Lytechinus pictus: one gene and its partners. The protein of the gene in region 3 binds, or shares a complex with, the protein of the main gene of each other region. Links are inferred from orthologs where the notes say so. Each region holds a gene or a part of one and is shown on either strand. Other genes may lie near its edges.

What was found.
Region 1: general transcription factor IIF subunit 2-like (region 3) and general transcription and DNA repair factor IIH helicase subunit XPB-like share a complex: the UniProt entries of both Homo sapiens proteins name them as parts of the TBP-based Pol II pre-initiation complex. The link is inferred for Lytechinus pictus from reciprocal best matches to the Homo sapiens genes GTF2F2 and ERCC3.
Region 2: general transcription factor IIF subunit 2-like (region 3) and DNA-directed RNA polymerases I, II, and III subunit RPABC2-like share a complex: the UniProt entries of both Homo sapiens proteins name them as parts of the TBP-based Pol II pre-initiation complex. The link is inferred for Lytechinus pictus from reciprocal best matches to the Homo sapiens genes GTF2F2 and POLR2F.

The regions. Positions count from the first base shown.
Region 1 is NC_087257.1:8,964,014-8,967,771, reverse strand, and holds the start of general transcription and DNA repair factor IIH helicase subunit XPB-like, read right to left. Parts: upstream 2,477-3,758; 5' UTR 2,391-2,476; coding exon 2,363-2,390; intron 1-2,362. UniProt on the Homo sapiens protein: ATP-dependent 3'-5' DNA helicase/translocase. Binds dsDNA rather than ssDNA, unzipping it in a translocase rather than classical helicase activity. Component of the general transcription and DNA repair factor IIH (TFIIH) core complex.
Region 2 is NC_087248.1:11,113,995-11,117,752, forward strand, and holds the start of DNA-directed RNA polymerases I, II, and III subunit RPABC2-like, read right to left. Parts: upstream 2,224-3,758; 5' UTR 2,124-2,223; coding exon 2,098-2,123; intron 1-2,097. UniProt on the Homo sapiens protein: DNA-dependent RNA polymerase catalyzes the transcription of DNA into RNA using the four ribonucleoside triphosphates as substrates.
Region 3 is NC_087260.1:10,631,699-10,635,456, reverse strand, and holds the start of general transcription factor IIF subunit 2-like, read right to left. Parts: upstream 2,235-3,758; 5' UTR 2,110-2,234; coding exon 2,050-2,109; intron 1-2,049. Other genes in the region: esterase LipI-like, read right to left, coding at 3,517-3,758. UniProt on the Homo sapiens protein: TFIIF is a general transcription initiation factor that binds to RNA polymerase II and helps to recruit it to the initiation complex in collaboration with TFIIB.

The DNA of each region.
Region 1 (3,758 bases), on a different chromosome or scaffold from region 3:
TTTAATGTGTAGCCTGTTCAGTCATAAGGAAGTTTGCTGTAATTTTCAGGTGGCTCCTAATTTATGGGCAAACTCCCGGAAGAACCCTTCCGTATCATCCGTTCTGGAGGGGCAATATAATAATCTTTGTGGACAAACTGGTGTATTTCACCTGCTGCTACGTGGCCCCAACCTGAGTGAGGGGGATGTTTACAAGTGCTCCATATTTCAACGGATCACGGAACCATGGGGACATCTACCAACATAAAACGATAGGATTAAGATCCACTTTGTCAACGAGTGAAATGTTCGGTAAAATGAATAGGTCTAGTTGACTGGCCGGGTAAGCAGTTGATTACCATGAACTTACTACACCTGAACTTGAATCAGTGAGCATTTCTCTTCTTCCCTTTGAACTGGACATTACATAAACCCTTTCCTACTTGGAATAGATTTTTATACCATACCGGCCCGGTAGTTATTGTGAAATGTTTTAAAGGGCAATCACTTTGTATTACAATCAGAACAAATTGCAAACCCAAATCTGTAACAGATTACCCTTGGAGATTGCATATGTTTCACTACCACTTTACACTTGGTTGTAAAATTATTTCACGTCTTGTAACTGATTTGATACTGCATGCTAGCGTCACAAGAGTGAACGATAAAGATGATTGTATTGTAAACCTTGAAAAATAGACTGATTATTATGTTAATAAACCAGTACTTCAATTTGATACAGTAATTTTATTCTTTTTATTCTGAGTGCCTGACAACATGGTTACTCTTATGTCCCAAGTTTCATGAACTAGATCTATAAACTTTTAAGTTATGATGACAATTCCACAAATAACCCCAACATTATAAAAGTTCGTTGCCCCCTAAATTACCTTTGACCTAGGTCATGTGACCTGAAACTCGCACAGGATTTTCAGGGTTACTTAATTGCTCTTATTTCTAAGTTTCATGAACTAGATCCATAAAATGTCAAAGTTATGATGACAATTCCACAAATACCCCCAACATGGTCAAAGTTTGTTGACCCTAAGTGACCTTTGACCTTGGTCATGTTACCTGAAACTCATGAAGGATCTTCAGTAATACACTATCAACCTTATGTCCAAGTTTCATGAACTAGGTCCATATACTTATAAGTTATGACATTTCAAAAACTTAACCTTGGTTAAGATTTTGATATTGATTTCCCCAACATGGTCGAAGTTCATTGACCCTAAATGACCTTTGTCATGTGACCTGAAACTCAGGCAGGATGTTCAGTAATACTTGATTACCCGTATGTTTTAATGTATGAACTTAACTTTGGTCATATTGGTTAAGAAATTCCATGTTGACGACGCCGCCGTCGTCGGAAAAGCGGCGCCTATCGTCTCGCTCTGCAATGCAGGCGAGACAAAAATGACATCAATCATTCAATGTCGTATAAATGTCGGAAATGAAGTTTTACTTGTAGTTGTATCCCATCATGCCCATTCATGCCCATTTACATGATTTAGGCTTAGGGTGAAGAATAATTAAAGAGCTGTGACTCTGGGAGAAGAGTTCTTTTCCTTTTGTGACAACCTGCTGACCTGTGTTACAAGAAATGAACAAGATGCGACTCCCGGCTCCCCTATCAGTAGAGGCGCACGGCCAATATTGGAGACTGTCTCCAATGTGGGAGATTATCTCCAATATCAGAGACTTTTGTAAAGAATTTGGGTATCCAAATTCAGAGACAGTCTCCAGTTTTGGAGACCAATTTCCTTTGTTTACATTTGCTGCAAAAGGATTACCTTGGCGGCAAATAAAAATGTGATAAGCAGATTCCTCATGAAAAATTGCCCCTTTTTACCATCTACTTTAAAAATTCACCGTCTACTTTTGTTTTGATAAGGATTTTTGTTGTCAATCACACACAAAACAAATGGGCTTCTGACCTCAGTGAGACAAAATTTTGGGTGGAAAAAATCATGCTTTTGTTGGTGTTGTTTCTTTTGTCCTTTTGCAAAGCAAGTCTCCAATGTGGGAGATTGTCTCCCCTATTGGAGAGAGTCTCCCATATTGGCCGTGCGCCTCTACTGCCTATATCAGGCGACTGAGTCAATGTGAAATTCATACACAGCTTCACAAAAACGTGTTTAGCCCATGTAGCATGCAGGCGCAATAATCGCACACGCCTTTATTGCAATGGATTCTGCGCGTTTCTATCCGCATTCCAAGCGTATAACACGGTTCTCTATGTAAGGGACTAGGCCTAAAGTAAAGTCCACTTTCGCACTTCCCGAAAAGTGACGGAAAAGTGCTGATTTTTAAAGCCTACCGACAATTTTCTCATACCTAAGTAATATCATAGTATTCTTGAAAAGTAATGGGACATACGTACCACCGTCTTTACGATCCCGTTTTCCCATTGCATTCAGAAAATTGTTGATATATTTCAGAATGTGGATGTCTAACCGCCCCTAACCGCCTGCGCCTGCCTACGGCCAAAACTGTCGCCAGTATTGCGCAAGAGTCGAGTTGGTACAACTTCAAGCGAGATACCGCGCTGCTGAACCAGTGAGTAATAACAATGAGAAAACTGCATTATCTGGAATTTAGAATATCAGATTTAAAGTACATTTTTAAGTCATAATCAATAATAGTTGTGGCATGCCATATTTTTTGCATAAGATCAAGCAGACATTTGCAAGATAAAGTCGAAAATGAAAACGTGGGCGAATCAGATTGCATGCTGAGCCTGAGCACGCGGTCTGTCCTGCAGCTGCATCGGCGCTTACCACTTGAATCCCCCGGGCCGACCCGCAAGCTAGCTGCCCTGGGCTGGGCCCGTCTCCCATCCCAGCAAGTTCCCACACGCGCACATGTGTGTGTGAGGATATGGATGGATGGCCAATGGCTATGCCTATGTCAACTGGCCTGCACAGGTTGGTTGGTGTTGGAGTTAGGTTGGCGCTCTTCAATCTAGTACTAGTTAGTAGTAGATTATGCGCCAGGTCTTTTCCGAGTTGCTTAATTCCCGCTTCAAAATGAATGTCCTTGGCGTTGGACTAGTCTGAACTGTCATATATCGATATAGCGAGATACAATATAATTATGATTACCTCCAGTCATTGACATTGTGCGATATTGTACGTCATAGTGTAACAGTAAATTTTGCTGGGTTTATTTCTCTAATCTGTACTCTTGCATTTGGCTTTCCATACTTTATTGTTTACATTCAACTTGTTTATTTCCATTCCAACTCATCTCATCCTTCTTTCCATCCTCACAATCCACATACATTGTCATGCCTCATGGGGCCTGTTGCATGACAAGATGAGCGATACGTAGGAACGTCCTAGGACCATTCTTCCGAGATAGGAAGATTGGTGACAAATCAGCGCTTTCCGTTTCACGAAGGCAATTTTGTCTTTCAAGTCCGCGACATCGTTTGATATCGATAGTATCGGAAAAATATTTAGTCTTCATCGTCACCTGAACCTTTTATTTCGGAATGACGACTTTTCATAAAATCATATATTTCAATAAAAGGGGATCAAATAATATTTTATTTATTACTGATTGTAGAATTGATGTACATGGAGCTTAATTTATGAGGTAAAAAGAGAAAAAAATTCAAGATTCACAAACATAACTGGATAAGATCGAAATTATCATTATTTCCCTTATTCAGAACACGGTGTCCTTTTAGAGACACCTTTCATTGATATTTCAACGAAAGAGACCCTTGTCTGACATAAAATTGATTTAACTAAGTAATTTCGACATTTGATTAG
Region 2 (3,758 bases), on a different chromosome or scaffold from region 3:
GTTTAATTATGGTTATATGCAGGTTCTGAGCATGTATCAATATGTTTCAATCGACACATATGAAGTTTATAGATAAAAAATAATGTCTTAAGAAGCAGGCAGTCTTTGATAGAGACTGGTGGATCAGATACAGGAGGAAGAAGTACAACACAAGTGAACAGAGTAGGGTTTGCTGAGTTATAAGAAGAGATCACATCTGGGTAGTCTTTCAGAGATTCATTGAGTAAAGAAATAAACTCAAAGCGAATTGAGTTGGAATGGGGACATGTGGCGATAAAGTGTTCTACTGTTTCGTCTGCACTATGACAGTGCTGGCAGGTTGAGTCAGCGGTCTTAGCAATTTTTTTCAGTCTGGTTTGAAGAAGGTAGGTGGAAGAAAGAAGCTGTGCTCTCACTGTCAAGGCCTTTCTAATCAAGGAGGATGGAGGGTTTCTTGGGTAGAGGTCCTTGACGTCCATAGGCAGATTACCTGCCCAGACTGAAAGACTGGCTTTCAAAGGGATGGTTTGCTCTAGATCCTCATTGACATTTCTCCTCGTTGCTATGTTGATGGTGCGCTTCCAAGTGTTGTATTGAGGTGGATCTGTAATTAGATCTACAAGTGGTGGGAGATGATATTTGGACAGAGTATCAGCAAACATCCGGATGGTTGGAGTTGTTTTCTCTGAGGCATGAAGAAAGATTCTAAACTCGAACCGACAGCGATCAATAGAAAGAATTGACCCAAGGAGGAGGAGTCTGTCCAGTTCTATCTGAGCAGACACTGGAATCAAGTCTGTGAGAAGATACACAATTTCATCGGCTGAAGTGATTGGTACTCCTAGGATCCTTTTGAATAGCTGAAGTTGTGTTTTGTTCAGTTTCTTTAGCATTGCCTGGGTGAACTTCAGAGTAGCACAGCCATAGAGCATACGTGGGATGCAGTAAGACGTCCATAGGCGGGCAGTCACTAAAGGCACAAGACCCTCCGAGTATGCACCAGTTCCTACCATTGCATAGAAGGTGTTCAGACCTCTTGTAGCGATCATATCAGATTGGTCTGATTTCGTACTGGTCTTGAGAATTCCTAGATGGGTGTGTGAATCTGTCCGCAAGATTGCATCATTCCCTACTGTCCAACTATCCTGGTTACTGGCTTTGCGGGGATTGGTGACCACGATAGCACTCTTAGATGGGTTGATACGATAATGCCAACAAGAAGCATATTGGAACGTCACTTCAAGCATTTGTTGTAATTCTGAAGGGGAGTTGCTTAGGAGAGTGATGTCATCAGCCAGTGCAATCACACCTGCGTATTCCGATCGTATGAAGGTGCCGAGCCCAAGTGACTTTAGATGTTTTATGAGGCCATCAACGAATACGGTATATAAGGTGGGAGAGAGGATACCACCCTGCCTGACCCCTTGAGTGATAGGAATGGGATCTGACACATCTCCATCCCAAAGAACATGGCTTTCCATCCTTGAGTGTAGATTTTGTATGAGACGAACAAGGGAGATGCTTATCCCAATGGACTGCAACTTATCAATTAAGCCTTCATGCCACACACAATCGAATGCTTTCTCCGCGTCAAGATAAGCGGTGTATGTCGGAAGTCTCGAAGCAGTATTGAGTTCCAGAATAAGTTCAAGGCACAGAGATGTTAGCATGCATGAGAAACCTTTCCGAAACCCAATACGTACGTACGTACGTAGTATAGTAGTAGTAGTAGTACCAGTAATGCATGTACGTATATAATAGTATGGATATATCTAGGCTATATACCATTGAATTAGTATATAGCTATAGGTCTTGACATCGTTGTGTTGGCTGACCAACGATTGGGTAGTGAGCAGTGTCGGGGTATTCTGCAGTTAAGCCGAAAGACCCTTTCGTGCAATCGGCCCCTCGACTCTGGAGGATCCAGTGGATACGCAGAAAAACCACACACCAAATTAAATATACGGGACTGTATTTAACATGATTACAATAATGCTTAATTCAGCCGCATGTGCATGGGTAAATAAAGCTACAAAGTACGAGATACTATCACGATAAGTAACACAGTTATATCAGTCACATAATTTCATATGGAATACAATTTAATGATGTTCTTACTTCTCGATATCTTCGTCGTCAGCCATTGTTTTGTCGGCCTTTTATAGCTTGCTTGGCAAACGTGAGTGATCTCCGAAGTCCAAACGTATTACGCTAGTATACTTCGGATGAGAAAATATGAGCCAACTGACGCCAGCGCCACCCGTCCGTCCGTCAGAAATAATACAGGGAGATATTAAAGACATTATTTTGTCAGTTAAAATTCAGAAGATCAGGATGAAAATAATGATAATATTGATAATAACCACAACACAAATAATAATTATGTTAACAATGACATAAAGAATTCATATATGATCATCATTATATTATATATATTATATACCAGGTACATTTTTTTTTTGCTTTTGTGCTTATCATATATTAGACGAAGAAGAAGGATATCATGCAAGGAGAAGAAGAGGAAGGAGAAGAAGAAGAAGAAGAGGAGGACGGAGAAGAAGAAGAAGAAGACGGAGCTTGGAGGCGGAGAAGAAGAAGATAGAATAGGTTTATGCATAGTCGCATTTTGTTCAATGATGTATTGTTCTATAAAAAAATATGCCCATATGAGTCAAAAGTGGCCATGAGCACCTGCCTCTATATATAATAAACGTGTATATAATTGCTACGAAATTTGTTTTCCCCTTTGAACATGTTGAAAGTAAGTGTTATGATACGCCTATAAGTTCGCGCTTTGCGCTCGAGGCTGGGCTGAAATGGGACATTTTTGCGTAGCAGTCTGATCTGTCAAGCAGGGTCATGCATGATTATCACGTAAATATAGGCATATAGGCCTACTATAGATACTGAAGTTTATTATTAAGTCTGCCAAAACATGATTTGAATAGATAAAGAAATATCAGACAAAAAAAACATGACATTTTTATCAAAATCAGACAAGGAATAACAAAGTTATGACATTTTAATGATTTTGCATTATTTCGGTCAAACAACAGTTCTGGAAATGTGTCTTCATGAATATTCAATGAACAAACAGATGATGTCATAACCCCACTTGTTGTTTTGTATTTTATTATATGAAATTATGTTTATTCAATTTTCCGCCAAGAACTAAAAAAAGTTGGATCGACAACTGATTTAATGCATTGCTGCATGCAACTTATCATAGGTAGACATATCATTCACACTTGTATGAAGAAATAAATTATTTCCGATTTCATGTAATAACATAAGAAAATTTAGGAACGTGGGGATGTGACACCATCAGCCCACCCAATAAATATTCATGATGACGTGCATAATTGTTATCACAAAATATTGCTAAACTTTAAAATTAAATAACCTCGTTATTAATTGTTATCGGATTTTGATGAAATTTTCAGCATTTTGCTCGGTGAATATCACTATATTTATATTTTCAGCCCGGGTTAACCCTTTAATGATATCCCTGTTCATTATAGTTTTTAGATTTTTAGATATATATATATATAAAATTGATTTTCAATTAATTTGGTGAAACATTGGAGACCTCTGGGTTAAATTGGACTAAGACGTATAAGTATCACCATGGACCTACTGGTATTAGAAATACTGCTCACAAAGTGATTGATAATAAACAAGTGGAACGCCTCTGGCAGTCTCGCCTGCATTACGCGATTTAATATAGCAGCAGTGCTAACTTTGAAAACTACAATAAAATAATCACTCACAAAAATATA
Region 3 (3,758 bases):
AAGAAGTTAGACTTATGACGGTGTTGAGAAACGGGCCCCAGGAGGCTCCTAGAGAGTAAAAATCATTTACTAATGTATGCTTACTCTAAACGGAGCCAGAAATTCCTTCCCATTCATCTCCGTGTACTGCCAAAAAACCTGAAACTTTCGCCCCCGAGATTTCTACTTTCCTTCTAAAAGATCTAGATCTAGCCCTAAATCATGTACCCGGTATGGGATACAACTTCATTTCCGACATTTCTACGCTATTGATTTCATTTTTAAACAAGAATTTATTTAAAAAACAAGAAAAATGTAATGAAAAGACGGGGAAAACTTGCCACCGTGTTTACGTCACCATTTTGATTTCGCTTGGCGACAGCACGCAAATCGTGCGATTTCCGTGCTTTCGCCCAGCGAAAGACAATGAAATCAAGAGTTGAGTTGATGACAGCGTCACTCAGGCAATTCCACTCAATGATAGTGGATGGGAAGAATGAGTTCCTGTATTGTTCAGTTCGCGCTCTGATCAGGCGCGTAGCCAGGGGGGGCGGTCGCCCCCCAAAAAGAAAAAAAAAGAAGGGGAAAAGGGAGAAAAGGGAAGAAGGGTATAGCCTATAGCTTTATTGTTTTTTCTTTCTTTTTTGTCAAAAGAATAAAAACCTAAACGAGATGTTCTTCTCTCTCTTCACACAAAATTTTGCTTCTGCGCTCCACGCGGGAAAAATATCAAAATTGCCTTAGCCCTTTGTTTCCCACACCTTTTTTTCTATTCCGTTTTTCTCCTTCCCGGCCATGGGAATCGCATTTTTGCCAGAAATTATAAAGTATACATGGGTGTAAGGAGTATGAGAAGTATTTTTTTCAGTTGCGCTGACACAAATTTTTCCTCGTCTGTTCAGAGTGGGTAAACTTTTATACTGTCACTCGATCCCGAAGTCCCCAAATGCTATTTCTTCCGCATTTCAGCAAGCAATATTTTGGCAAAGTATCTGCTCAAAGGGGGAGCATTGAATTCGTGCCGTGCTATATGCAAACGTTGGTACGATGAAACTTTATTCTAAATTTATATCGCTGCACATCCATCTCATGTCCTGTTTTGCGCCATTGATTTGAAATTTTGAATATCACAGAAGTTTCTTAATCATACAAAAGGAAGCGCTTAATATTATGAGCGAAATTACACAAATTTGTTTCTTCCAAAATAACTCACAGAAGTTTCCGTGCTTCGCGTGCATGGGAAAGGAAAAGTCCCTCTTCAAGCTTGCATCATCCCTTTCACATTTTGAGCTACATTTTTCTTTGTATTATTTATAGAAATATCAAAATTAGAGCAGGTTAAAGTTTCAAAGAAATTTCTAAAATTCAGAGCTTCAAGCCATTCGCGGGAAGAAATATTTCCTCCCTGCATATACCCGCATCTACTGTTTTGTGAGTTAAAGAAATATAATGTGGTTAAAGTTTTTACAATCAAATCTGGTGACTAAAGTCTAAGATAGGCATTTTAAACCACTTCTGTTCTCAATTTCTTTTAATAAAACGTCTTAGCTTTCGCGCTTCGCGCGGTAAGAGGAATTATTTGGAATTCCTCAATCTTGTCCCATTTTTGGGGCACTCATCTTTTCTTTGGAAAACAGGTTTTGTTTTTAATCACAGCAAGTCAAATTGATAAGGGTATTATTAGAGACGCAAGAGACATCTTCTTTTGATTCAAATTTGATGAGATATCAAAAACTCCCCCCTGCACCTCCCTGCACCCTCCCCCCTTGCCCCGGGGACCTCGACACGACGTTCGGGCTGCCGCAGGCGCAGTAACCTCCCCCCTATGCCCTAACTCCTAAGGCCCTAGGGAGCGCGCTTTGTAAGTTTTGGCACGCTTCGCATGCATTTACCGCCCCCTCCAAAATTAAATCCTGGCTACGCGGTTGGCTCTGATTGGATTGTAATTTGTAGCACTTGTTTTTATTGTTTGAAAAAGATTACAGTACACTGCAGTCCCACCTGTACCATTCTGTAACCTGTTTTGAGACACTGCCATTTAAATTGACTCGATTATTAATTTTTATTTACCTTGACCAGCCAAATCGGTCGTGCAGAAGCAGTCAAGTCGAGCTCCATCTTGGACGTCATCGTAATGACCTTGGTAATTTGATAAAAGTAGAAAAGGACTTTAGTTCGTAAGGCTACTGCGACAGAATAATTTACAATAAGCAAGATTATCCGACTCTTTCTGCAAGATATAAATACATCGCTGCTACCTCGCCGCAGATGGCGCTATACCCCAGATTGGCGTGAGTATAGTAACATTCTCGACGCAGAGCCGTATGAGAAAGACGCGGCGCGTCAAATATTCGTCTTGGGTCATGTCGTGGGCCGTGGGTCATATTACCGATTTGCCAAGATAAAAAGTTGGTTTTCGAGCTACCATCGATTTAATGAATTTAATTGTTGTTTCTGTTCATAGACATGGATTGAAGGATGAGAGAAATTACGCATCTTGTCCTCGATCAATAATTCATCCTTTCATATTCCTTCCCTTGATCCTCACTCGTCTCTCTCTCTCTCATCAGTCCAACCCATTCATTTCCCATTGAGGAAGCAATAGTTTGGGGATTTCGGTCTTCAATATCCATCAATTTCAATCTTTCGTGTTCTCCTTTTCCGTCCATCTTTCCCCCTCTCTTTCTTCTATTCAGTACCCTCCGTATTGCAGAATATAAGGGGCTCGTTGTAATCTAGATTGCTGAGGTCGCCATCAAAAGGAAAATGACAATGAGTGCATAGAAGAGACAATACAAGTAATATGTTTTCAATTTGTCGGCCCATATCTATCTTTATTGCCTTCTGCCTAGCTATCTAGTTGTCTGCCTGTCTATCAACATACCTACCTACTTTCTTTTAGCCTACTTTCTATCTTTTGTTTGTTTCATTTTCACCCATTAATTCTTTCCCATTCTCTCTTTATTATGCTTACTATTTATTAATTTCGCCGACCCCCCCCCCCCCTCTTTCATACCATGTCTGCTTTTCTCTCTGTTTTCTAATTTATATAATTTTTCGTTATCTGTTTATTTTCAAACACAAAGTAAGAACAAACATTCTATTGTTGTAACAATTTGATTTAAACTCTTCAGTACCTGGGCAACTACACAATCATGATTAATCTGTACAGAAATACAATATACCATCGTAAACATAAAAAAATCATTTCACGTATTTATAAAAACACATTCTGCTAGATTAACAATATAAAGTGGCATTAAGAATCAATTAGTACGATCTAATTCAAAATACAAACGAATTAAACCTAGACAAGCATTTGAATATATTCATTTAAAAACGATGATTTGGATAAATACAATTTGTCAAGTTTTGTTCAATATGTAGTTAGAGGTATGACTCGTCTGTCGCGTGTATGATTTAGGTTTGACGAATACTGACTGCATTTCAATACGAAATTAATTGCACTTGAGAAAAAAAGTATAATCAACCAGATACTGCTGGTAATTATTGCAGATTAAAACGCAGGAAAATAAATCAAATGTTAACTCTGATGAATTTGATAAATCCTTCCTGCACCTGCTTTCCTGTTTCTGAATATAGTGGAGAATACCAATCCAAGCCGTGAAAGGCAATATCATAGTTAACCCAGTCCACATCGACACCACCATCTTTTAGACGATGATAGTAGAATATTCCGTCGTCGCGCAGGGGATCATAGCCGCAGGTGACGATGTAGGCTTTCGGCAGTCCTCGCATATCTTCGCGAAGGATCGGCG